3 linked regions of the Tamandua tetradactyla genome follow. The main gene of each other region encodes a partner of the protein of the gene in region 2 in a complex. Links are inferred from orthologs where the notes say so. Each region holds a gene or a part of one and is shown on either strand. Other genes may lie near its edges. The genes, in order: SAP25, SIN3A and SUDS3.

What was found.
Region 1: the proteins of SIN3A (region 2) and SAP25 are in contact, whole or in part, in an NMR structure (PDB 2RMS), measured with the Mus musculus proteins. The link is inferred for Tamandua tetradactyla from reciprocal best matches to the Homo sapiens genes SIN3A and SAP25. Residues at the interface, in NP_001103821.1 of Mus musculus: Leu121, Lys122, Val123, Ala126, Leu127, Leu130, Tyr144, Phe147, Leu148, Met151, Lys152, Phe154, Lys155, Thr161, Val164, Phe182, Phe185, Leu186, Pro187; in NP_001075431.2 of Mus musculus: Ala208, Glu209, Ile211, Ala212, Leu213, Ala214, Gly215, Leu216, Leu217, Gln218, Met219, Ser220, Glu223.
Region 3: the proteins of SIN3A (region 2) and SUDS3 are in contact, whole or in part, in an NMR structure (PDB 2N2H), measured with the Mus musculus proteins. The link is inferred for Tamandua tetradactyla from reciprocal best matches to the Homo sapiens genes SIN3A and SUDS3. Residues at the interface, in NP_001103821.1 of Mus musculus: Glu616, Glu619, Leu620, Val623, Arg672, Ile673, Tyr674, Ala675, Lys677, Asp680, Ile681, Ile691, Ala692, Ile695, Val696, Arg699, Met702, Lys703, Glu706, Trp707, Glu709, Ala710, Phe714; in NP_848737.3 of Mus musculus: Ala205, Leu207, Asn208, Tyr209, Leu210, Leu211, Gln215, Ile216, Glu218, Asp219, Leu220, Thr222, Leu223, Leu226.

The regions. Positions count from the first base shown.
Region 1 is NC_135349.1:8,677,770-8,683,482, forward strand, and holds SAP25 (histone deacetylase complex subunit SAP25), read right to left. Parts: upstream 1,513-5,713; coding exon 1,450-1,512; intron 1,340-1,449; coding exon 1,189-1,339; intron 1,067-1,188; coding exon 969-1,066; intron 887-968; coding exon 593-886; downstream 1-592. Other genes in the region: LRCH4 (leucine-rich repeat and calponin homology domain-containing protein 4), read right to left, coding at 1,661-1,819, 2,731-2,939, 3,793-3,982, 4,284-4,361, 4,448-4,585, 4,745-4,830, 5,020-5,103, 5,207-5,334 and 2 more. UniProt on the Homo sapiens protein: Involved in the transcriptional repression mediated by the mSIN3A but not the N-CoR corepressor complex.
Region 2 is NC_135338.1:66,487,914-66,495,579, forward strand, and holds the start of SIN3A (paired amphipathic helix protein Sin3a), read left to right. Parts: upstream 1-4,567; 5' UTR 4,568-4,638; intron 4,639-5,703; exon of another isoform or gene 5,704-6,307; coding exon of another isoform or gene 6,308-6,574; intron 6,575-7,032; coding exon of another isoform or gene 7,033-7,272; exon of another isoform or gene 7,273-7,376; intron 7,377-7,666. Other genes in the region: uncharacterized protein LOC143652277, read left to right, coding at 6,308-6,574, 7,033-7,272. UniProt on the Homo sapiens protein: Acts as a transcriptional repressor. Corepressor for REST. Interacts with MXI1 to repress MYC responsive genes and antagonize MYC oncogenic activities. Also interacts with MXD1-MAX heterodimers to repress transcription by tethering SIN3A to DNA.
Region 3 is NC_135331.1:18,679,628-18,687,442, forward strand, and holds the start of SUDS3 (sin3 histone deacetylase corepressor complex component SDS3), read left to right. Parts: upstream 1-4,718; 5' UTR 4,719-4,905; coding exon 4,906-5,047; intron 5,048-7,025; coding exon 7,026-7,095; intron 7,096-7,815.

The sequences.
Region 1 (5,713 bases), on a different chromosome or scaffold from region 2:
GCATTCAAGAGCCTCAGGTAGGCCTTGCCCCACACCCCACCTGCCCCCAGAACTGCCTCTGCAGGGACCTGCTGCCTCTGCCCATGCTCCCAGGGGTCCCCTCACCCCATACTTGTAGGGCTTTCTTTGTCTCCTCTGAGCCAAAGAGCTTGGCTCACCGAGCCCACCCACACCCAGTATAAAAGGGGTGGCAGCACCAAGTGTCTTACCACTGTGCCTGCCCCCGAATGCTATGCCACCCCCTTACTTCCTGGTTTGCCTCTCCCAGGGCTGGTCACACGGTCATACAATCCTCCCTTGTCCCTGGCCTGGCAGAGGCAATGAAGTCCTGACTCCCAGACTCTTTGCCTGGGAGATCCACCATGATTAAACGTGCCCTGCTTGGTTGGCCTGGGAGGGACCTAAGTTCACGGATTCACTGCCTCACTGCAGAATTTGAGGGGTGGATGGAGAGACACACTCTACACACACCTCCGTGCCTCTGGCCACCAGCCACAGGGAGTCTTTTGCAAATCAACGCTGCTTTATTGTCAACAGAGTTTGCCTGGGGTGGTGGGTAGTGGGTGTGGGGGCCCACTCAGCCCCTGGGGGCCTAGGGAGAATGGGTCTCCGTGGTCAGAGGGAGGGATGGGTCAGGACAGTGAGAACTGCTCCGACCACCACTGGGACCTGTGTGGCAAGAGACAGGGCCTGAGGAGCCAGCAAGGTGCGTGGGGGCCAGCGGGGAGCTGGCTCTCGGCTTCCCCTGGCTCATCTCCAGAAGGCCAGTGAGGGCAATCAGCTCAGGCCCACTGAGCCACGTGGTGGAGCAACTTGGGGATGGGGTGGGGAGGACCCAGGGGGACATGACAGGGCGTGGGGGCAGCAGCTGCAGGGAGCCCATCACCTGAGGAAAGAGAAGGAGTCAGTGTCTCCTCCCAGGCTCTGTCTGAAAACTGGGGTAAGGCCAGGGCAGGAAGAGCTCTCACCTGCTGGGGGGCCTCGGTCAGGTACAAGGGGATACGGTGCCCACGGGGTAGCAGAGGGTCTGAGAAAAAAACGTCTTCACAGCCCATCACCAGGAACCCTGGGGAGCAGACACTAGCTAGGGCAGCACTGGAGTCCACACTGGGGGGCCCACCCAGTGAGTTCTGCCCTCTGGAGAGCCAGAGTAAGCATGTTCATCCGCTGGGGCAACCAGGGACCTACCTGTGTCCCTGGGCACGTGCTCTCCCTTCTGATGCCCAGTGGGGGCCAGGGGCCTGAGGCCCCTGCCGGAGGCTGCCTCGAACAGCGGCCAGAAGGATGGATGACACAAGGTCCGGCTGGAGAAGGAGGCACCTGACCCACAGCTGGCCCCCTGCAGAGTGCGGAGGGAGCAGGAAAGACCCCTGGAATCTGGCGCCTTCCCAAGGCATGGCTACCTCTCCCTCCACCCATAAGACCAGGCCACAGGTGTCCCCAACTCACCCACACCGGCTGAGGTCCTACTTCAGCCTTGTAGTTGGGGTCCCACGGTGCTAGCAGGGTCATCCTTGAGGGGGCCACCTGGGGAGAAAGGGGAACTGTGGGGGGGAGGAGAGGGACTTTAAGAGATTAATAGGCTCAGGAGTCAGTGAAGGTCTTGAAGGATATTAAAGGTACCAGGGCCTTGTACCTACCGGGGCTTCCTGGGGACCCCTCAGCAGCCGGGCCTGGGGAGCTGCCAGGCTTCACCTGCTCCCTCAAGCTCCAAGAGGGACTTAGGGACTGGGAAGGTCCAGTTACACGATCCCGCATCGGCCTTCCCGCCTCCAGGTGTGGATATTTCCGTGAGCTCAGAAGCAGGACCAAGGGGTGCCTGGTGCAGGGAGACCCATCAGACCGCCGGCAACCCCACCCCCCACCAACCCTTTCCTTGGTATGGACGATTGAAGCTTTGTTAACCTAATGCAAAGCGCGGGGCTAAGACATCGAGAGCCCCCCAGTCGGATGGGCCCCCAATTGGATGTCCACCCGCATGCTCCCCTGCTGAGACCCTCACCTGTCCTGTGGGGGTGAGCCTGTCTCTCCCGGATCTTCCTCCCCATAGTTCCAGGCATCACCCTGGTCACTGCCCGTTGAGGGGTCTCGTCCCTCCGGTGTCGCCTCCTCTCTTGAGCCCCAGCGCGGAAGGGCCCAGGGCAACATGCCGCGCCTGGGGGAGGGCAGGGCAGCACTTCCGTGCCCCCGCTGGCCTTGTCCCTCCCTAGCCCCCAGGTCTCCTCTGCGCCCCGGTTGGTCGCTGTCCAGCCCTCCCTGCAAGCCCGCGGGGGCCGCCACCTCCGGAGAGCCTCGCACCACGCCGGCGCACGGTGCATTTCCGGGCCACGTGGCCTGCACTCCCGCTGGGACTCAGGCGGCCGCGGGCGCCCCCTAGCGACGGGGGTGCGCGGGGTCCCAGCCGCCCGGCTCCGCCCTGTAGGAGACTCGTGACCGCCAAGGGCAGGAAAATGGCGGCGCGAGGAGAAAGCAACGGCAGAAGCTCGTCGTGAAGGCAACAGCGGCTCTGACACGCACACATCCAAGGGCCAACAAGGCCTTCTGGCTTCTTTATTGCGCTGGACACAACAACGGGCGCCCTGCCTTTCGTCCCAGACCCTCAGCCCCTCCCGACGGGGCCAAGCCACCTTCCTCCACGCAGGCAGGCTGTGAGGGGCAGGAGCTGCCTCCGACCCTTAGGGGTTAAGGAGGGGTGCCCGGGGAACAGGGCCGGCCCGAGGCTGCCCTCACCAGCGTCCATGTTAGCAGGAACAGGGCCCGGGCGGTCGTCCATCTCTTCTTGTTCCTGGGGTCCGGGCGGGCCACCTCAGAGCCCTGCACCCCTACCTCAACCCCTAAGGCCGTTCGAGCAGCGCATGGACGACAGCAGCGATGTAGGGGAGGCCCCTTCCGGGGGCCCCCTCCTCTTCCAGGATGTGATGTGGCTGGCACAGGGCCTCCTGGGGGGAGGGGCCCAGGTAAGTTACTCCTTGTCACTTTCCCAACTCAGCTTCCCTGCCCTTGGCAGAGGAAGGGCATCCAAGAACAAAGTCCCTAAAGAAGCCTGGGCAGAGGGGCAGAGAGGCTGGCCCTCCAAGGGGTAGGGGGGCAAAGGCTAGAGGCATCCTGGACACACACTGTGGGCCCACAGCTCGTGGACAAATGAGATACAAGGAAGCTGCCGGCAGCTAAGAGAGGAGTGATGACACAGGGGCCACTGCTCAGGGGAGAGGCCTGTCATTTCCAGAGGGAAATGCTGGGGCAGGGCAGCACCTGAGGGCACACCAGGAGTGGCCTGGCCACAGCAGGAGCAGACACATACACACACACACACACATACACAGAGGCAGCCACAGTCTGTACAGTTTATACACAGAGGCAGGGGCCCAAGCTGGGCCCTGCATCTCCTACAAATATAGAGTTCTCTCTACAAAATATAGATAATTTAGCCCCCCAGTAGCCAGGAGGGGTTGGGAGGGAGGGAGGGAACAACATGGAAAGGGAAGATTCAAGCTCCTGCCCAATCTGGGGGAACAGAGGAGGGCAGGGGCAGAAGGCTCCAAGGCACCGTCAGCAGTGATGGGGGGGGGGGGCACAGTGAGGGGCTACAGGAGGGTGGCCAGAGGCTGGGGACCCAGGGTCTGGGGGCACCAGAGTGGGGCCTCTGAGGTCACTATCTGGAGGAAGGGGTAAGCTAGTGTCTTTGGTAGGGGCCGAAGGCACCACTGGTGAGGTGAGGGGCAACTGAGTGGGACTTTTATAAATAGAACCAGGGCCAGGGCCAGAGGAGGAGTGACTTGGGGCCCTAGAGACCTAAGAGCCGAGTGTAGACGACACAGAGCAGCAGCATGAGGGCCACGTAGAAGAGGACGAAGCCGCCCAGACCAGAGGGGGGCCAGAGGGGTGGGGGGGCACTGCCCTCTACCCACTGCACAGCCTCCAGTGTGGTTCGCAGCCCTTGGGCAGTGCCCTGGAGGAGATCCGAGGGCGAGCACAGGTCAGCCTGGGAAGGGAGAGTAGGACAAATGGACAAGGACAGATGACAAGACATCAGCAGCAGCAACAAGGCAACCCCCACCCCTCCCCTCACATGCCTGGACCAGAACCTCCAGCATGCGAACGTGCAGGGAAGGGAGCATGCAGGGTGGGCGGGAGGGTGTGCTTCCTGCGGGGGAGGAGACACCCCTGCGAGCAGAACCCCACCACCCACACCGACTGCTCAGCTGAGCCCTGGTCTAGCCACTGTTTACAACAGAGACCAGCTCCTGGCTCCTGAACCACATCCCTCACCCCAACTTCCATACCTCAGGTACCCCCATTTTTCGACAGGCTTCTAAGAAGCTCTCCACATTCTTCCGAGACTTGAGGACACTGAGTTTTGGCTGGAGGGGAAGGAGATAAGAGGATCAGGGAGATGCCACAAAAGTCTCCTGCCCCATGCCCTATTTCCTCCCTTAGCCCAACTGACCACAGCAGGTGAGGGCACATGGATGAAGGGCACAGACCGGGGCCGGAGCTGGTTGACCAGCTGGCACAGAATGACCCCACTTGCCAGAGCTTCTGCCAGGTCCTCAGGCAGGGGCCGCTGCAGCCGGGACTCAAGGACCTGGGGGTAAGGGGAACTTGGGGTTAGCTCAGAGGTCTGCCCTACCTTGCCAGCCTCAGGGGAAGTACTGGGATGGGGGAGGGCAAGCGGGTATCAAGGGAGGCCTGAGTTCCAAGGACAGGGAACTCAAGGAGGAGCCATGCAGATCCTTCTTCTTACCTGGCGCAGTTGGGCCATTAATTCCTTCTCATCCAGAACCTGGGGGGACTGCCGAGGTCTCGGGACAGAGTCTGGTGAGGAAGGGCCTAGGCAAAGAAAGAGGGCATGTGGGCTGTCTCCATACTCCAGTGTCAACTTTGTAGTTGGGTCCTGCTGGTCTGGCACCTATCTCTACGTCTCTGCTCGTGGGGTTTTCAACACAAAAGGACAATAAACCCAGAGACCTCTGAGGCCAGAAGCAGTGACAAAAGCCTGGTGAGCCTCTGTTGACCCACCTGAGCTGGTCTGAGAGGAAGAACGGAAGAGGAAGCTGTTTGGTCGCTGAATGGAGCCAAGTGGCCGGGGTACAGGTGGTGTTGCTAGAGCCAGGTAACAGGGAAAGTGAGAGAGACATCCCTCAGTGTCCCACTTTCCCTCAAGCCACCAGGTCCCAACCAATCCCTCAACTACACGGGGCCCCACCTCTTTCCAAAGTCTCTGTCCCACCTGGTCCTGCTAGAGGAAGGGGCTCCTGGGTGGTGGGGGCAGAGACAGGGGCTCCCTGCCCCCCTGCAGGTCCAGGTTGGGTGGCACTAGACTTAAGTGCACCACTGAGGAGAGAGACAGAAAGGGAATTATGTGGGATGGTCAAGAGGAGGGTGAGCAGGGAACAGACTGGGAGGAGACATACTTCTTTGTGGCCTGAGTAGACAGGGCAGGAGCACCTCCCCCAGGGGTCCTGATCCCCAGCTTCAGAAAACTAGAAAGAGAAGAAGGGATGTGGAATTATCAGGACCAGGGGAACATCAACCCTGAGGGGCAGAGCAGGCAGGAGCCACCCAGAGTGGCTCTAAGAGGGGGTGTGCCCAGCTCCAGAAGCATTCACTTCCAGGGCAACAGTCCCAGCCCTGACCCTGTGCCCATACCTATCCTTGTGCCCATAGCTGTCCTTCCTGAGGACCCCCCACACTCCACTCTGCTGCTGCTGCT
Region 2 (7,666 bases):
TAGGGTACTGGCCAGGTTGGATTGTCACAGGCTGCTGAGAGAGGGGGGGTGGCATCTTCCCAAACAACATTTGGGAAGATAGGCTCATAAGTGGTCTTCTTGAGGCAGAACTGTCAGAGGGAGGAGACATGAATGGGAGGTAAAGAAGTAGAGACTGAAGTTCTCAGGCTGTCCCCACTTCCACCAACACAAGACCCACCTCTTAATCCTCTAAATAAGATTTCATTTAAAGAAAGAAAACTGCTTAAAAAAAAAAAATCACCAAACAATGATATGCAAAAGGAAGCGCATTGAAAACAAAATGCTAGGTAAACTGGGGGAGCATATAGTTATGGTATCTACATCAGATTAGAACTGGATGGATCTCAGAAGGGTAAACCAACACTTCATTAAGAGGAAGACACTTGAAGGCAGTGAGTGGCGGCCTTGAAACCCACGAAAAAATACATGCCTCCAAGTCTACCCAGGAGTCAGAAATACAGATATGTACAACCTAAGCCAGCTGGTTGCCTGAGAAATGGAGTTTCTTCATATTACAGGGCTGTTGGTCCTTTAGGTCTATGGCTAGGCTCACCACTCAGACTACAACTCCAGGGATTTTTGCATTTGAATGGCCAAGAGAAGTGGGGGTGGGGATGGGATAAAACAGGACAAGATTTGAAAACTCTTGACTGAATGTTAGGCATTGAATTTCACAACACCCCACTGAAGTAGGTAAATTCTAATTCTTAGTTTACAGATAAGAAAATGGAAAAGAGAGTTCAGTGTTAGAATTCTTGCCTACCTTGTGGGAGACCCGGGTTCGAGTCCTAGTCCATGCCCTTCCCAAAACAAGCAAAACTTCAACAAAATGGTGCTGGGATGTTCACATGGAAAAAGAATAAAATGTGTCTCCACCATACACCATACCAAAAAAAATAATCGGAATCTAACGTTCAGTATCTGTAAATGTTCTTAGTTTACAGATAAGAAATGGAAAAGATAAAAGATTTATTAAATCTTCCAGCTAGGAAGTGGCTGAACTGGGATTCTGACCAAGTTCAGACCAAGTATGCTTTTCCTTTGCACCTATAATATGCTTTGGGTTGGGGGTAGGAAACTAGGGGCCTCAGGTGCCCCTTGAATATCTCATTCTAGTAGGTGGTAGTAGCTTTCTAGAGCTGTCAGAAATTCTGTCAGAAGGATACTGACATCGTTTTGACTGTAGTCTAAGGAGCATGGTAGAGTCACTGAAGTGCAGGCCCTATATGTCAATCACCACCTCCCATTAACGGTCTTTGTATGTGCATGTGAAATCGAGATTGTCAGAAGGTGTGATAGTTTTGGGTATATGTGTTGTATGTGCTTTCTTGATGATAATGAACTTTTGGAAAGAACCAGAAATCATTTATCTAGGGACAAGCTGTATTAAGAGTTAGGGAGATGAGGAAGGTGGGGGCATGAGAGGAGAGTTTTGCTCCAGACGTCCCAACCTGGATCATCATGGGCCCCAGCATGCACAGAGACAGCATATGGGGCAATAGAAAAAGCTTAAGCTTTGGGTCCGGACAGACTTTCCTTGGCTATATGGCTACCTGGGCAAGTCAGTCTATTGTACTGAGCCTCAGCTCGCTTATCTGTAAAGTAAGTATGAGAAACCTTAACTCACAAACACCTGTGGAATGTTTCACACAGAAGAGGCCTGGGAATCATAACCTGGCCTCCCAATGTGACTTCTCCAAGGAGGACTGTCACACAGACCCATTCACTGTTTTGTCCTCACTGGTAGGGAAAGGTAGCTGTAACCCTCAAGTGCTGCTGGAGGGACAGTGTCGCCATATAAAATATTCACATTCCCAAACAGGCTGGAACTGGCTGTGCTGTGCAGGCTTCAATGTATTGAATAGATCGCAGGATCTGTTCCAAGGGACCTTCTGTGCCTGACTGCAGTGGGCACTAAAGGGCCGAGGTGAGTGAGGCGGAGAGATTGTCACTGAGGAGCTCATTCTGGGGGCAATGTTCAGGGGTGGTGGTGTACTTACGAGGGCGAGGAGTGTCAGGGAAGCCTGAGTCACTTGAGTGAGGTTAACTTCTAGTTACAAATGCTTCCTTTGTAACTTCATCCACAACAGACCACTTGCTGCCCAAGTTCACAGTAAAATTCTTGGGCCACTGGCCTCTACAGGAGCTCAGAAATTCACTTGTTGCATTAAAGTGCATTTGATCATCGTTTTTGATCCTTATATCAGTCCTGAGAACAGCTGGGTAACGATTGTTATTTTATCTTGCACAGGAAAAGAAGGGGATTCATAGAGAATAAGGTGTTTGCAAGCAAGGGCTCACTGCCATGCCCAGTTTTGGCCTGACCATGGTTTCAAAGGGACTAGGTGGAGACCAGGGGACTAGACGTCTAGGCTAGTGTTCTTTCTGCTCTATCACTCTGCCTACTCACATTGATACAGGTATCTGTTATGCCTTCAGGGAGGGCAGAGCCCCTCAAGAAACAGTAGGAATCTGAGAAGGGGGTTCCTGACTTCTGGGGATCTCAGTTCTGATATAGAGGACTACCATCCCCCCCCATTATACAAGGAAGAAATTGAGACCCAAGGGAAGAGGGGACTTGCCCAAGGATATGCCACAAATTACTGACCATGCTAGTTCTATAGTAATCTGGAACTCAGATTACCCAAATGCCAGCCTCAAGCTTTTCTACAACTTCACACAGCAGGTCACTTCCCTCCACTACCTACACTGAATCAAGTCACTGAAGACATCCCTTTAATCTTTTCCAAACACATCTCTCTCTCTCTCTCATTTTTATTCTTCTCTCTTCCTACTCTCCTTGCCCTTAGCTCATGTTCTTGCATCTCACCATTACTATGGGGACAGCTTAACAGGTGGTAGGCTTGCATTTTGCCTACAGGCCTCCAAGCCCACTTCATCTACACGAATTTCTTTTCCCCTCTGTCTATAGGTGGTTAGGGCTGCCTCAATCAACAAGTCTTTCTTGCTCATTTATTGTGTGTCCCAGTCCCTGGCTCAATTTTGTCAGGTACAGATGTGTGGGTTGGCCCCTGAGTCCCAGGAACACTTTTTGGTTGGGAGTTACGACAAATAGCAAATGATGCAGGGAAGACTGTGAGTCAGGGTTTTTACTTGACGGCTGCTGAAGATAGGGGAGGCTTCCTGCATTGGGTGGATGGGGGAGAGAAAGGGTAGAGTGGGGGAGAGAAGCCTTCTCTTGGTCCCCTACTCTACCCTTCCCACCACAAGATGCACCTCTGTATTCTGGAAGCCCAGTTTTACAGTAGCCTGGTGCCTGGACTTGCTGGCTTTAGGCACACGTCACTCAGCCTAACCTCAGAACCCATGCAGCTGCCAGGATGTTGAACATCTTAGACCAGAGTTTTGGGCCTGTGGTCCTCTGATCCTGCTCAGAAACATTCAGCTATGCAAGTCCAAGAATGTTAACCATGTATTAAAAGCCTTTTTCTGTTTAGTCTCCTCTTTCCAATCCTACTTTACATCACTACGCCACCCATACACTTCATGTATGGGGGGTGGGGGTGGAAATGAGACTACAAAAACAACCTCTAAGAGCCCTTTCCTCACTCAGAGCCTCAGGTGTGTGTATGGGAAGTTTGCCACTAAAGACACAGGGCAGGTAGAAAGAAGTGCTCATTTGGGAAGGGAGGTGGGTCACCCCAGGTAGAATCTGGAGACTGGAATGTGGGTTGGAGCTGAATCAATGGGATAATTGAGGGGATGGAGAAGGGGAAAAGCCAAGATATGAAGATTGGGTGTTCAGTGCAAAGCCTAGGACCTGGCAATATTATGGAAATCAAGCTTCACTCTCAGACCCTTTGTACCCTTTGCTGAAAATGACACACGCTCTCTGCCCTCCATTTCTGTCTGATAAATTTTCAAGATCTAATTTGAATGCCGCCTCCTTCATGAGGCCTTTCCCAATTTTCCTTCAGCTAGAACAAATCTCCCTTCTCTTAGGTCCTATATATTTCTTTGTATATATTCTTGCCTTGCCTACCTCTTTCTGTATCATCTCTTCGGCTGGATCGGGAGCCCTCAGAGGGCAAGGATCATCTCATCCAGTCTCTCAAAGCGCACTCAGCAACGGGTGCGGTATGACTGTGCCTGCTTCATCTACGTAGTTGCTCGCTCAGACAAGTGCCTGTCGTCCTGGACGCAGGGCTTCCTACCTGTATCACTAATCTTCAGGCACCTAAGAGAGCGGAGTAGCGGCGGCTAGTTCCAGCGAGGTGCTAGGGCGACCTTACCAGCCTCTCTGCCTGCTCCGAACGGGGTGTGTTTTGTGAAGATAGTGGCAGTAGGGTAGCCAGTTACTTCCTCCGAGTACACCCTGCGCAGATCCCCGAGTCTTAGGAGGCCTCCCTTTGGTCCGAGGGCCTCCAGTAGCTCGAGACGGCAGTACTGAAGAGATAGGGGCCTCTGCAACGGATACGCCTCCCACTCGCAGCTACTTTATTTATTTTATTTTTTTGGAGGGAGGAGGCGTGCAATGAGGGGGGAAAGGCGGGGCGAGATGAGGAGGAGGGACCAGGATGACTGACGTGAGGCCCGGGGAGCCAATGGCCCGTGGGGGGCGTTCCCCCATTCAGGACTCCTCGCCTGGTTCGGAAGGTATGTTTAACAGCTGCTTTTAATTTGGTCCCCCCAATTTCTGGTGTTTGGGGGGCTGGTTCGCCGGTCTTTTGCTTTGGCTGGGCCGCCTCAGTGCGGGCGCCGCGGGCAGGGGTCCGAACTGAAGGGGAAGGCTCGGAGTCCGGCGGCCGAGGGAGACAAGCGGCAGGCCAGGAAGGAGAGCTCTTGGCGCCGCCTGCTAGCCAGTGTGTGTGTTTCCAAGCCGGGCCGGAGCCGTGGGGAGGGGGTCGGCCGGGCCCGGGCTCGCCCGGGCGCCAGCCGCGCTGCCTAGTTTATTTCATCGAGCAGCCGGTTTGGGTAGGTTTTGGCGGCGGACTGGGTAGGGGAGGGCAGGGAGAGATCTCCCGCTACTGAAATTCGTTTTTAAGAACAAAATTATTGTAAAGAAGAGAAAAGGAGACGATTCAATACACCAACTGGAACCCGGCCCGGGTTGCGGCGTGCGGGATTGCAGGGGGCGGCGGCCGGAGACCCGCCGGTCAGGCCCACCCAACCCGCAGCGCCCGGAGTTGGCCGAGGGCTGGAGTTAGCGAGCGAGCAGGGGCTGGCGGCTCTTCCCGCTGACCACGCTGGGCGAGCGCGGCAGCCTCCCCAAGGGTTTTGTTTCTGCCTGCGAACTTCTCCGAGGGGGCGGTGAGCGCGGTCCCGAGAGGCGCGGGCGCAGTGGGCCCACGGTTGTTAGGGACTCTGGGGGCGGGGGTAATGCCGGATTTGCGGGAGGGGCGGCTGGAGGCGGAAGAGGCCCCGGAAAGCTTCCTGCGTCTCGGCACTGGCTCCGCGCGCGCTTCGGAGCGTCTCGAACTCCTGTGCCGCGGCAGTAGAGCCACCGTTCGTCGCTGTAACTCGCCAAGATCGAAGCCCCATGGACCTCGGCCTGGGGGTGTGGAAACCTGCAGGAACTCGGCGGCTTCAACCCGCGGCCCCAGCTGATCCCTTTGCAAACATGGAGCTGCCTCCTTCCCCGCCCACCCCGCGGTGGCGGCGGCGGCAGCGGCAGCAGCTCCCTTCCTCTTCCACGGCAGTGCCGCTGCCAGGATCCCCCTTTCCGCGAGGTGCCTCTGCTGGCCGCTTGGACTCAGATGGGGCGGGGGCGCGGACGTGTGCGCGCGCCCACGAGGGGGTGGCCTGAAAGGGGCAGTGAAGGTCGGAAACAGTGAAAACAGTCTCCACGCTAGGAATCGGGAAAAGGAAATGCATCAGAGGGCGGGGAGGGGCGCGGGGGGCGCGCCTGTCAGCTGGAATGGAGGCCGCTGTCGGGGAGGCGGGGCGCCGGCATGAACCGCGGGGTTCCAACGGAGCGTGGAGGCTAGAGGCGTGGAGGGCCGGACCCGCGGAATGTCGGGGCTGCCAGTGCCTCCACTCTTTGGCCCATCCTATTTACTCTCTACTCTGGTGGTGGGTTGTGCAACCCGCATAGAGGGGAGCTGAGAGGTGGGGCGGTCCCCCAGCTTCCACCCACCTCCGGCTCCTCCAGAGGCTCCGCCTCCTCTTGTCTTCCACTGGTTGGGGCGAGAATCCCTTTTCTCCTTTTCGGTTTTCGATTGGATGACATTCTCCGAGCTCCGCCTATCGGGAGGCCGGGCTGGAGTTTAAGTTGCTAGGATTTTTTTCCGTAAAGAGCGGAGGGAGGATTTGGGCGGCTGGCGTAATGCGTAAGGTCCCGCCCCCATTTCTGATTGGTGGAGCAAATAGCCCCACCTCCTCCGGCGGAGCGGGATCGAAGGGGGAAGTCAACCCCTGTTCCCCGCCCCCTCCCTTCGCTGGTGTGCGCGCTCAGCACATGTGTGAGGCCCGCCTTGCTCCTTCGAATTGCCCTCCCGCCCGGAAGTCCCTCGGCGCCCTTGGCGAGGGAGGGCAGGGAGCGGAGAAGGCGCACAAAGATTCCTCCAAGACTCGCGATCGGATAGCCTTCGGGGTAAAGGATTTGAAGGATTTAGCTCCGGAAGTTCTGCAGGGGTTGAGAGGAGGGGGTGAAATCTGCTCTTGTTGGCCGGGGGCTAGTTTTAAAGTTCTGACCTTACAGCCTGGCTACTTCTGTGCACTAGCGGCCACTTGACTTTCCAGAGAGTCCCCTGATTTTAAGCTTGAGAACGCTGGGACACTGGCAGTGTCTTTGCTTACCAAGGCAACGCAGGGTTGGCTGGGAGCCTTAGGTATGATCCAGGCAGCACGCCCTATGTGGGCAGGGGAAGCCGAGGGAGGCCCAAGGCTGGTTCACCTTTGTAGTGGTTGTCGATGCAACTGGGAGCACAGCGGGGCACCCATTCCGGGGAGGGGGTTCGGGGGGTCGGGAATCGGCCCCAGAGTTATAGGCAGTATTCGGTCCGAGAGGTTTTGCCCGGGTTCGCTTTCGTCTGTTTGACTTATTTTTAGAGCTCCGTCCCGGGCAGGTCTTGGCTTCCAGCAAGGACGCTCCCACCTGTCGGCTACTCATGGAGTTCGAAGTTCGTTGCCATGGCCTCGCGGCTCCAAGCCATCCTTGGAGTCAGGCCCACTAATTGGCAGCGCAAGTTCCTGGCCGTCTCCACTATATTGCAGAGAGGACTTAGGAGCGGGTTTACCCGGCTGCCTATGGGAAGTAACATTTTTTACTGGAGTGAGCGGGAACTCTAATCCCGCCCCCTCTCCCGGCGCTGCGAGAGCGCCCCCCAAACCACGGTCAGCGTCAGTTCTCGGCCCTGTTTGGTGATTAAATAAAAGCAACCAAGGTATTGCAAGCACTTTGTCTCCCTGTGTGTTCGGGGCACAGAAAGGACCTAGGACACTGCAGTTAATACTCTTTACCCAAAGAAGAGAACCATAGTTTTTATTACCCGCAACTCTAGGATATTTATCCTCTCTCTTAAGAGTATACATATACTCAAAACTCATTTTTGCCATGGTCTGTTTTGCTCCTTTCCTCTCCGCCAGTTCCTCGACCCTGAGGATTTCTCCAGATCGACTTCGGAGATCGTGAGTGCTTTAGGCCTCATGCTCCGCCTTCAGGAGGCTTGCCTGGGCGGTGGCT
Region 3 (7,815 bases), on a different chromosome or scaffold from region 2:
TCAAAGTTAAGCAATCAAAATTCCCTATTTATAGTTTACTGTTTCTTTAAACTTGCATCTTAAACATTGATACTGAGGTGCTGCCAAATCAGAACAAATTTCTTAGCTTCTTATTCAGCTAAAATGAAAAAAAAAAAAAAAAAAAACAGGTCAGGAAAATATCTGCCTCTCTCAAAAGAAATATTAGAATTAATCCAAAACATGGGTTTCCAAAAGGATCCCTTTCCCCTTCAACTTTTTGTGGTAGGTTACAGAAGCTCCCTCCAACTTTTCACATTCAGATTAAGCTATCAAGGTCAGGTAGCCCCTCACTTTCCAGGCATCCATCCACACCAAGGGAGATTAGTGAGAAAAGGTCAGGGGTGCCTCTGTCTTGACCTTTGCAAGATGTTGGTGTTTCTACCAGACCCTCCGGCCGGTGCGTTCTACTTAGGAGATGTTTCATTACATAATCCCTATTCCAGAGTCACCCCGACTCAAGCTATCCCAGTCGCGCACACGACGCTCAGAAAGGTCCCGTCCCGTGGATTTCAGACCCTGGGAGCATCACCGTCTCCACGACTCTGCCCCAGCTGTCGGCCCCAACTCGCAGTCACAGCGACCCGGACCCAGGACCCCAACCGCAGCGGTGGGCTTGGGGGTGGTTTGAACAACTCCGTGGGCGCGATCCTTCTCAGGCTCCCTCGCGACTCAGACGCAAGGCTGGCAGAGCGCGGGATCCCGCCGACCTGGAACCAGCGTCCCTCTCAGGGTTCCTTGCCTCAACTCGCACTCGCGAGGTCCCCTCCCCTCGGACACTCTCGGGATCCCTTCTCTTTAGACCCTCTGTCTCCCTTTTTCGGGGTCCCCTCCCCGCAGACCCTCCGTCCTGGCCCCACTCGGGGTCTTCTCCCCGCGGACCCTCTGTCCTGGCCCCTCTCGGGGTCCCCTTCCCGCAACCCTCTGACCTGGCGCCACTCGGGCTCCCCTCTTTTCAGTTCCTCTGTCCCGGCCCCTCTCGGGGTCTCCTCTCTTCAGTCCGAACTGTCAAATCCGCTCCCGAACCTCCCCTCGCCCGGTCGTCGCCGACCTCACTCCGCGCAGGGTCCCCTCGCCTCGGCTCACGCTGTCACCGCCCCGCGCCCGGTGCTCTCACCTCAGACCTGCTGTCACCGCCCCCGGGCCCGGCGTCGCCGCCGCCGCTTCCTCTCTCACACTTGTTCCCGAGTCGCTCTTCTACGGGTTGTCCCCTGGAAGACTCCCGAGTCCGCTGCTGAGTGCCGAGTCCAGCCGCCCAGAACCTCCGCCCGCGGTCCCTGCGTTGCGTCCCACTCTCGAACGCGGGACCCCGCCGCCTCCGGGCACCCCACGGACCCTCCCGCGACCGCCGCTGCTGCTGTCCGAGGTGCGGCTCCTGCCAGGGGTGGCCAATCGCACCCGACTGCGCCGAGCGCGCTCCGCCCCACCCTCACCGACCGACCGCCCCCACCCCTAGACCACGCCCCCACCCGGCTCCGATAGGCTCTCTACTGACCTTCCCTGATCGAGGGGCACAGGGCTGAGGCCGTTTATAGGTACTTGATTGGAGATGCCTAGGAAACCGAGCGGTCGATGGCGCCTTAGGATTGGCGGAATTCACTATGCGGGTGGGGCTGGGCGAGGTTTCCTCAGACGCGGAAGACCTTGCAACTTCAGTTATCCACGGGCCCTCCAGGGGTGCGGTCATCCCTGTTTGCGCCAACCCGTGGGTCAAAGTTCATGGCACTTCTCCCTGCGCCTTAACCTTTTCTGGGAAACGCCTAGAGGCCAAGGCACTCTGGGACCCTGGAAGGATATAAGAGCCTTTGGGGAGGTCCCCATTCTCCAAGACCTTGCACAGGACTTGTAAATTTCCTGGATTTAAATTCTCCCAGGACTTGTCCATTTCCTGAATTTAAGTCCTTTGTACATCTCTAACAATGCTCTTCTTGGCATTGTGTTCAGCTAACATCAATTTAATATTGCTGGGGAAAATCCCTATATTTATACTAGATACATGCTTTGCAAAACAGCATTCAACCCTGGCGGGGCTCATTTTGATAGGTATAAGAACAAAACTTTATAGAGATACTCAGTTGCTGGATTTTGAACTTCTGGTATCATCATTATGACTGAAAAAACAGGAACTCCTGGGGAAACCGTTAGCTTCAAGCAAGCCTATTCAACATTCACAGAGCCATTCCGTTTTGTTCCGTGTAAACTAATCACCAAATTTTAACAAGCTTTGACCCCAAGTGCAATCTGGGATAAGCAAAGACCTATCTTGATTGAAGCTGAAAGGTAATGTCTTCCAGGGGTGAAAGTACATGTTACTCAGAGTTACTCCTTGTATTTTTGTGAAACTGGGTATGCTGAGGAAATCAATACTAGAAAACTGTTATGTTTATTCCTAACCCCCAAAATAAACTTAAGGACTTTGGCAGTTTGGCATTTTATGAAGAAATTATTTCATTTCAGAAACACATTTTAATCATAAGTGTTGTCAAATGTATACAGGCCTTAGCCCTCAGAACTCTAAGTTTTTTTTAAACTCCTGCTATACAATTTAAGTAGGTGTTCTAAACCGTATACATACTTTTTCCTTACTGTTTTAAAATCATACCCCACTCCAATTACAGTGCTCCTCTTTAAAGTTTAAGTTTGGGAGTTAGAGTATGCAGAGGTTTGAAGGCACAAACATTCTGGAATTGGGGTTTGCAGGACTACATTTAAGTTGGAAGTAATAGGAGCAGAGTGGCTGAGCACTATTTTGGGAAGAGATTTCAAGGTGGTAGAACTTAGTTTTGAGGGAAATTGCTTTTTACACACCTAGAGAAATTGTCCATAACCTTTGTATTAAGTAACTATAAAGAGTGAGTAAGATCAAAGCCACAAGTGAATTTTTTTGTTGTTCTCTAGGTCCCCTTTCAATAAAAGGCATCTTTTACTTAAAAGCTTATTCTAACAATTCTGCATTAGGAAATATGGACAGAAGACAAGAGGATAAGTTTTCACCACTCAAGTGTTCAGTTGTATCTATTCATTAAATGAAAGAAATGCATGACATCAGCGGATGTTATCTGCAATCAGTTAGATGGAAATAGAAATAAAATATAAGCAAGACAAAAACTCAAGTGTCTAGAAAGGAGAACAATTAGTGATAAAATCAGTTTTTTTTTAATGCATTATATCAATGGACTCTAATTTCTAAAATGTTGTTGGTGCTTTTTTTGGTTTATAATTATTGGTACTAATAGGGACTCAAGTTCAATAGATAACTACAAATAATTTGGATGTAATCTAACAAAGCAAAGAAAATAGCTTCAGCCTTTGTACAACAGACAGGAATCTGAAATCCTAGTTTAAATATAGATGGTAGACCTACAGTGCATTCTGAGAATAACTCTTATTTAAAAAGAACTTCAGAAGATCCCTGAGACCAAAAAACCTCTTGGAAAGACATCACAGCATTCCATTCTGTAAATACATGAGTTTCGTTGGGAGGAAAAAATCCCTTAAAAATAGAGCCAAGATTTCAAAACAAGGTAGGAAATAAAGATTTTTTTTCTTTATGAGAATAAAGTTTTGTAATTTTAAGAGACTTTGAGTCCATTCAGAGATAAATCTGATTACAAGGGATCTAAGAATCAGAATCGTAGATTCCACTCTGGCTCGTACATCTGTGTTCAACTTTACTATTTTTTAATTACTTTTTCTATGAAGACACGGATGCAAAATAGAGTGGGAATATTTATATTACTTTGGACAAACCATTGAACATTTCTGGCCCTTTTCCTTATCGTGCTGCCACAATTAAACCGCACTGCTCTTGACAACATGTATACCCAAAACTTGTACCTTAACCAAAACTTAAAACACTGTGCCCCCTTTTACTGAGTAGAAATCACAAATTAATTTATCTAGGTATTTGGGTCTGTATGCAAGGAACTCCACTTGCTCAGATGAGAGTTGGTTACCAAATTACTGAACTGGGAAAAATAATCTTTTAAAAATTAATACTCGAGGAATTATGAGACAGATTTACTGTTGAAGGAAGGCTTGGATCTGGAAGTAGCTGGATGCTACTACTTTTTTTTTAGGCAAGTGACATCTCTTTTCTCATCTGTAAAATCGGGATAACATTTTATTCAGCAAACTTATACCAACAGACTCGGACGGACTGAGAAAAATACCGTTTTGCTGATCCCAGGACCGAGCAACAGAAAATTTATCTTTTAGTTTTTAATAAACTCCAATTAGGGGAGGAGTCAGGGCTCTTTTTCTTTTCTGGATGTTCACTCAAACTCTGGATAGCTACATTTTCTCAACTTATAAAGGGGACGGTTCATATCGTTCATACGGTTCACCTGCTTAAATTAAAGAAAAGACCACCTCACCTGCCTCAAACCCCTCATACCCGCCGCTCTCAGGTCGCTAACTTCTCGCTCTACTTTTGGCTCCAGGCGCCGCCTGGCGGCTGTTTCCGGTGTCGCCCCTAAGCTTCGGGGTCCTGGCCTCAGCTAGACCTGCCCGTAGATTTGCCTAACGCTAGAGCTCATGTCTCCGCCCCTTTCCACCATTCCGTCGACTATTTTTAGACGGCAATGAAGGGACTGAGGTTTAGGCGAACGGAACGTCGCGGAACCTGGCGGCCTTTCCTCTCCCTCAAGGATGGAGGAATCAGGCGGTCCTCGGGCAGCTCGCGACCCGGAAGTCGCCGCCGGCGCGAGGACCCCGTTGCCCAGTGCGGGCGCGTGGGGCGGAGCTCGGCGGAAACAAGGAAGGGGTCGCCGGGGCTCCCGCTCTTCGGGGTGGCGGCTCCGTCGGGCTCTGCCAGGAGGAAGTCAAGTCCCCAGCGTGGGTGGCCTCGATCTCCCGGTGGCACGCTCTGCTGCGGTCGGAGGTGATATGAGTGCCGCGGGGCTGTTGGTTCCGGCCCCGGCCCCGGCTGGAGCGCCGCCGGCGCCTGAGTACTGTCCAGAGGAGGATGAAGAGCTGGAGAGTGCGGAGGACGACGAACGCAGTTTCCGGGGTCGTGACTCGGATGAAGGTGCGTCTTTTTGACCGCTGGCAGCCCTGGGCCGGGGTGGAGCTGCTGGGGAAGGGGTTGGACTGGCTGGGAGTGGGACGGGGCGGGGCGACTTCTAGAGCGTGGGGCCCGTTGGAGGGGCATCTGGGAGAAGCGGGGTCCTGGGAAGTTATCACTAGTCCCTCTGGGGAAGGAGGGAAGCCCTGGCTGTGTACGTTGTACCCTACTGTTATGGGGAGAAGGGACTTAAGGAGATATTCATAGAGCTGGAGGTCCCTTTAAGATTCTGCTCCCTCCCCCACAACCCAACCGTCCGGATTGAGCCTCTGGTCTTCGTTGGATGGAATAGGAAAACCATCCTTTGAGTGCTGTGAATCCCTGTCCTTTTAGTTCTGGAGAAAGTCAGAGCAAAGCTCTGTTTGCCCTCACCCCCGACCCCACCAGAATATGATTAAGTCAGTCCCACTTTGGACAGCACAGTACAAGATTTGGAATGCAGAGTGGTTTAAAGAAGGCTTAGTGGAATCAGCCAGATCTAGGTTTAAATTTGTGTCTGTAACTTAACCCAACTTTGTCATCTTAGAAAACTTCCTTAAGCTTCTGAGCCTCATTTCCCCAACTTTATGGGGTGGAAAGGTAGTACCTTTTTCTTAGGGTAGTTGAGAGAATTAAATGAAAAAATGTGTATGAAGTACTTGGCCCAATTTCCGGTATTCAGTAAGTGTCTTTTTCACCACTGAAGAAACAGGCACAGGAAGAGGTAGAGATTTGCTTAATGGTGCCCAGGTGTGTTTTCATTTCCATTCCCTTTATATTATGTCTTACTGCTTCTCAGAGCATTGCGTTTCAGGCTGGGCTTTACATTTTGGTAAGTGTGAGGAGTACTGTTTTAGAGGAATTGAGGAAGGAGCTGGCTAGAGGGAGAGAAAGGTTAAGAAGCATAGGACACGGGAGAAGAAAGAGGAGATAGAGAGGAACCAATATATGAGTGGAGTATTCCAGTTCATTTTATTGGCTGTCTGGAATAAGGAGCCTGTCTTATTCATTTCAGTCCTCGAAATAATGAGCACTTGATTGGCTGGCACATACAGGAACTCAGTGAAGCTCTGTTAGCTGAAGGAGGGGAGAAGGGTTTGTGGAAAATTGGGTCTGCAACAGCATTTCTCAGAAGGCAACTATATATGCAGACAAAGTTGAGCCAACTAATTGCATTGATAACTTTGAATCTTTGGAGATGATCTACTTTAAAATTCTCGCAAGAAATGCTACTTTGAGGACATGCCACACTGGATTTAATTGGGGCCTGCTGGGTTAAAACTCATCTTTCAACCCTTTGAATATGAATCACTTACATTGTTTTTAATGCCCACGAGGGGGTGCTGTGAAGCCAAAATAGATTTACTTCCTGCAGTAGGGTTCTTGAAATTGTGTAGACACTCCAGCGCTTTGCTTATTTAAGGATAGTGTATAAAGTGTTTTGAAACAGTTTCTGTTTGATCATCTTGCCTCCCTCCTCTTCTCCATTAGTTGTAACTTTGAAAATATTTGTTATTAGAGTTGTATTTCTTGTTTCTTTTTCTCCTGTTTCATCTCCTATCTGATATGAAATTTGCTAAGGGTTCAATTTAGAGTAGTGAGCAGGGCTTGACTACCTGTACTTTCCAGACTTCCACCCATGTCTCCTTTTCCTGAACTGCCAGCTTTTTTGTTTCTGCAGAAGTCACAGCCTTGACCATGAGTGCCTAGTCTGATACCCCTGTTTTCTGGTTGCACTTGAAATAAGGGCAAGCTCTTTGCATTAATCTGGCTGTGTATAATTTGGCAATGCCATTTTCTTTTCTGAAATAACTGTACTTAATGTTTTCCACTGATGGTGTCACACTGGCCAGTTTTGAGAAGAAATTCATTTTACAGAAGTTTATTGCATGCGTTTGCTGTGACGCGATGCCGAGTATATGAATATGATTTTAACTGACTTTTCCTCCCTAATTTTACTCAGACACAGAGGATGCTAGTGAGACTGACCTCGCAAAGCATGATGAAGATGACTATGTAGAAATGAAGGAACAGTGAGTAACACAAGCTCTTTCATGATTGTTTTTATATTATTTTTCTGGAATACAGAATTAGCAGGAAAAATATAGTGGCCTTGTATGTGTGGTTTTGACTATAATGCTTCCAAAGACTGTGTGTATGTGTGCATTTTCTTCTTTTAAATTGGTTGTATTTAATCAGTCTGTATTTAGATGAAACTTGTTCTTTTTTTCTTCCTATATCAAAAATCCATGATGGGTAGACTAGAAAGAACCTAGAGGCAAATGATCACAGGGAAGTAATCCCATAATACAGGAGAGTACCTTTTACTACTTCCTCTTTTATTTAAGATGTGAAAACCAGTGTTTGGAAACTCGCGTCATCCAGCAGCCAGGTTCTAAGATGGTCATGAACTCACTGAGCACTGACTACCTGTTAGGCAAGGTTCTGGATGCTTTGAGAGCTCAGGTAACTGGGACTGGAAACTAGGGACTCCTGACTCCTCCGATGCTCTTTCCACTTGAACACACGTCCACCCAAACCTTTTCATCACCTTCAGACAGAGCCCCAACTGAACGTGCCCAGATAGACTAAAATTCTATTATGTTTTAAAGAACTTGAAAAAAAATAGCTTCCTTATGCTTAAAATTTACTGACTTTTTATTAAAAACGCAGATGGATAACAGAATGAAATATATTCAATAAGTATTGGTTGAATATATTTTTTAAAAATTTGACCTGTTTTATTCTTTATG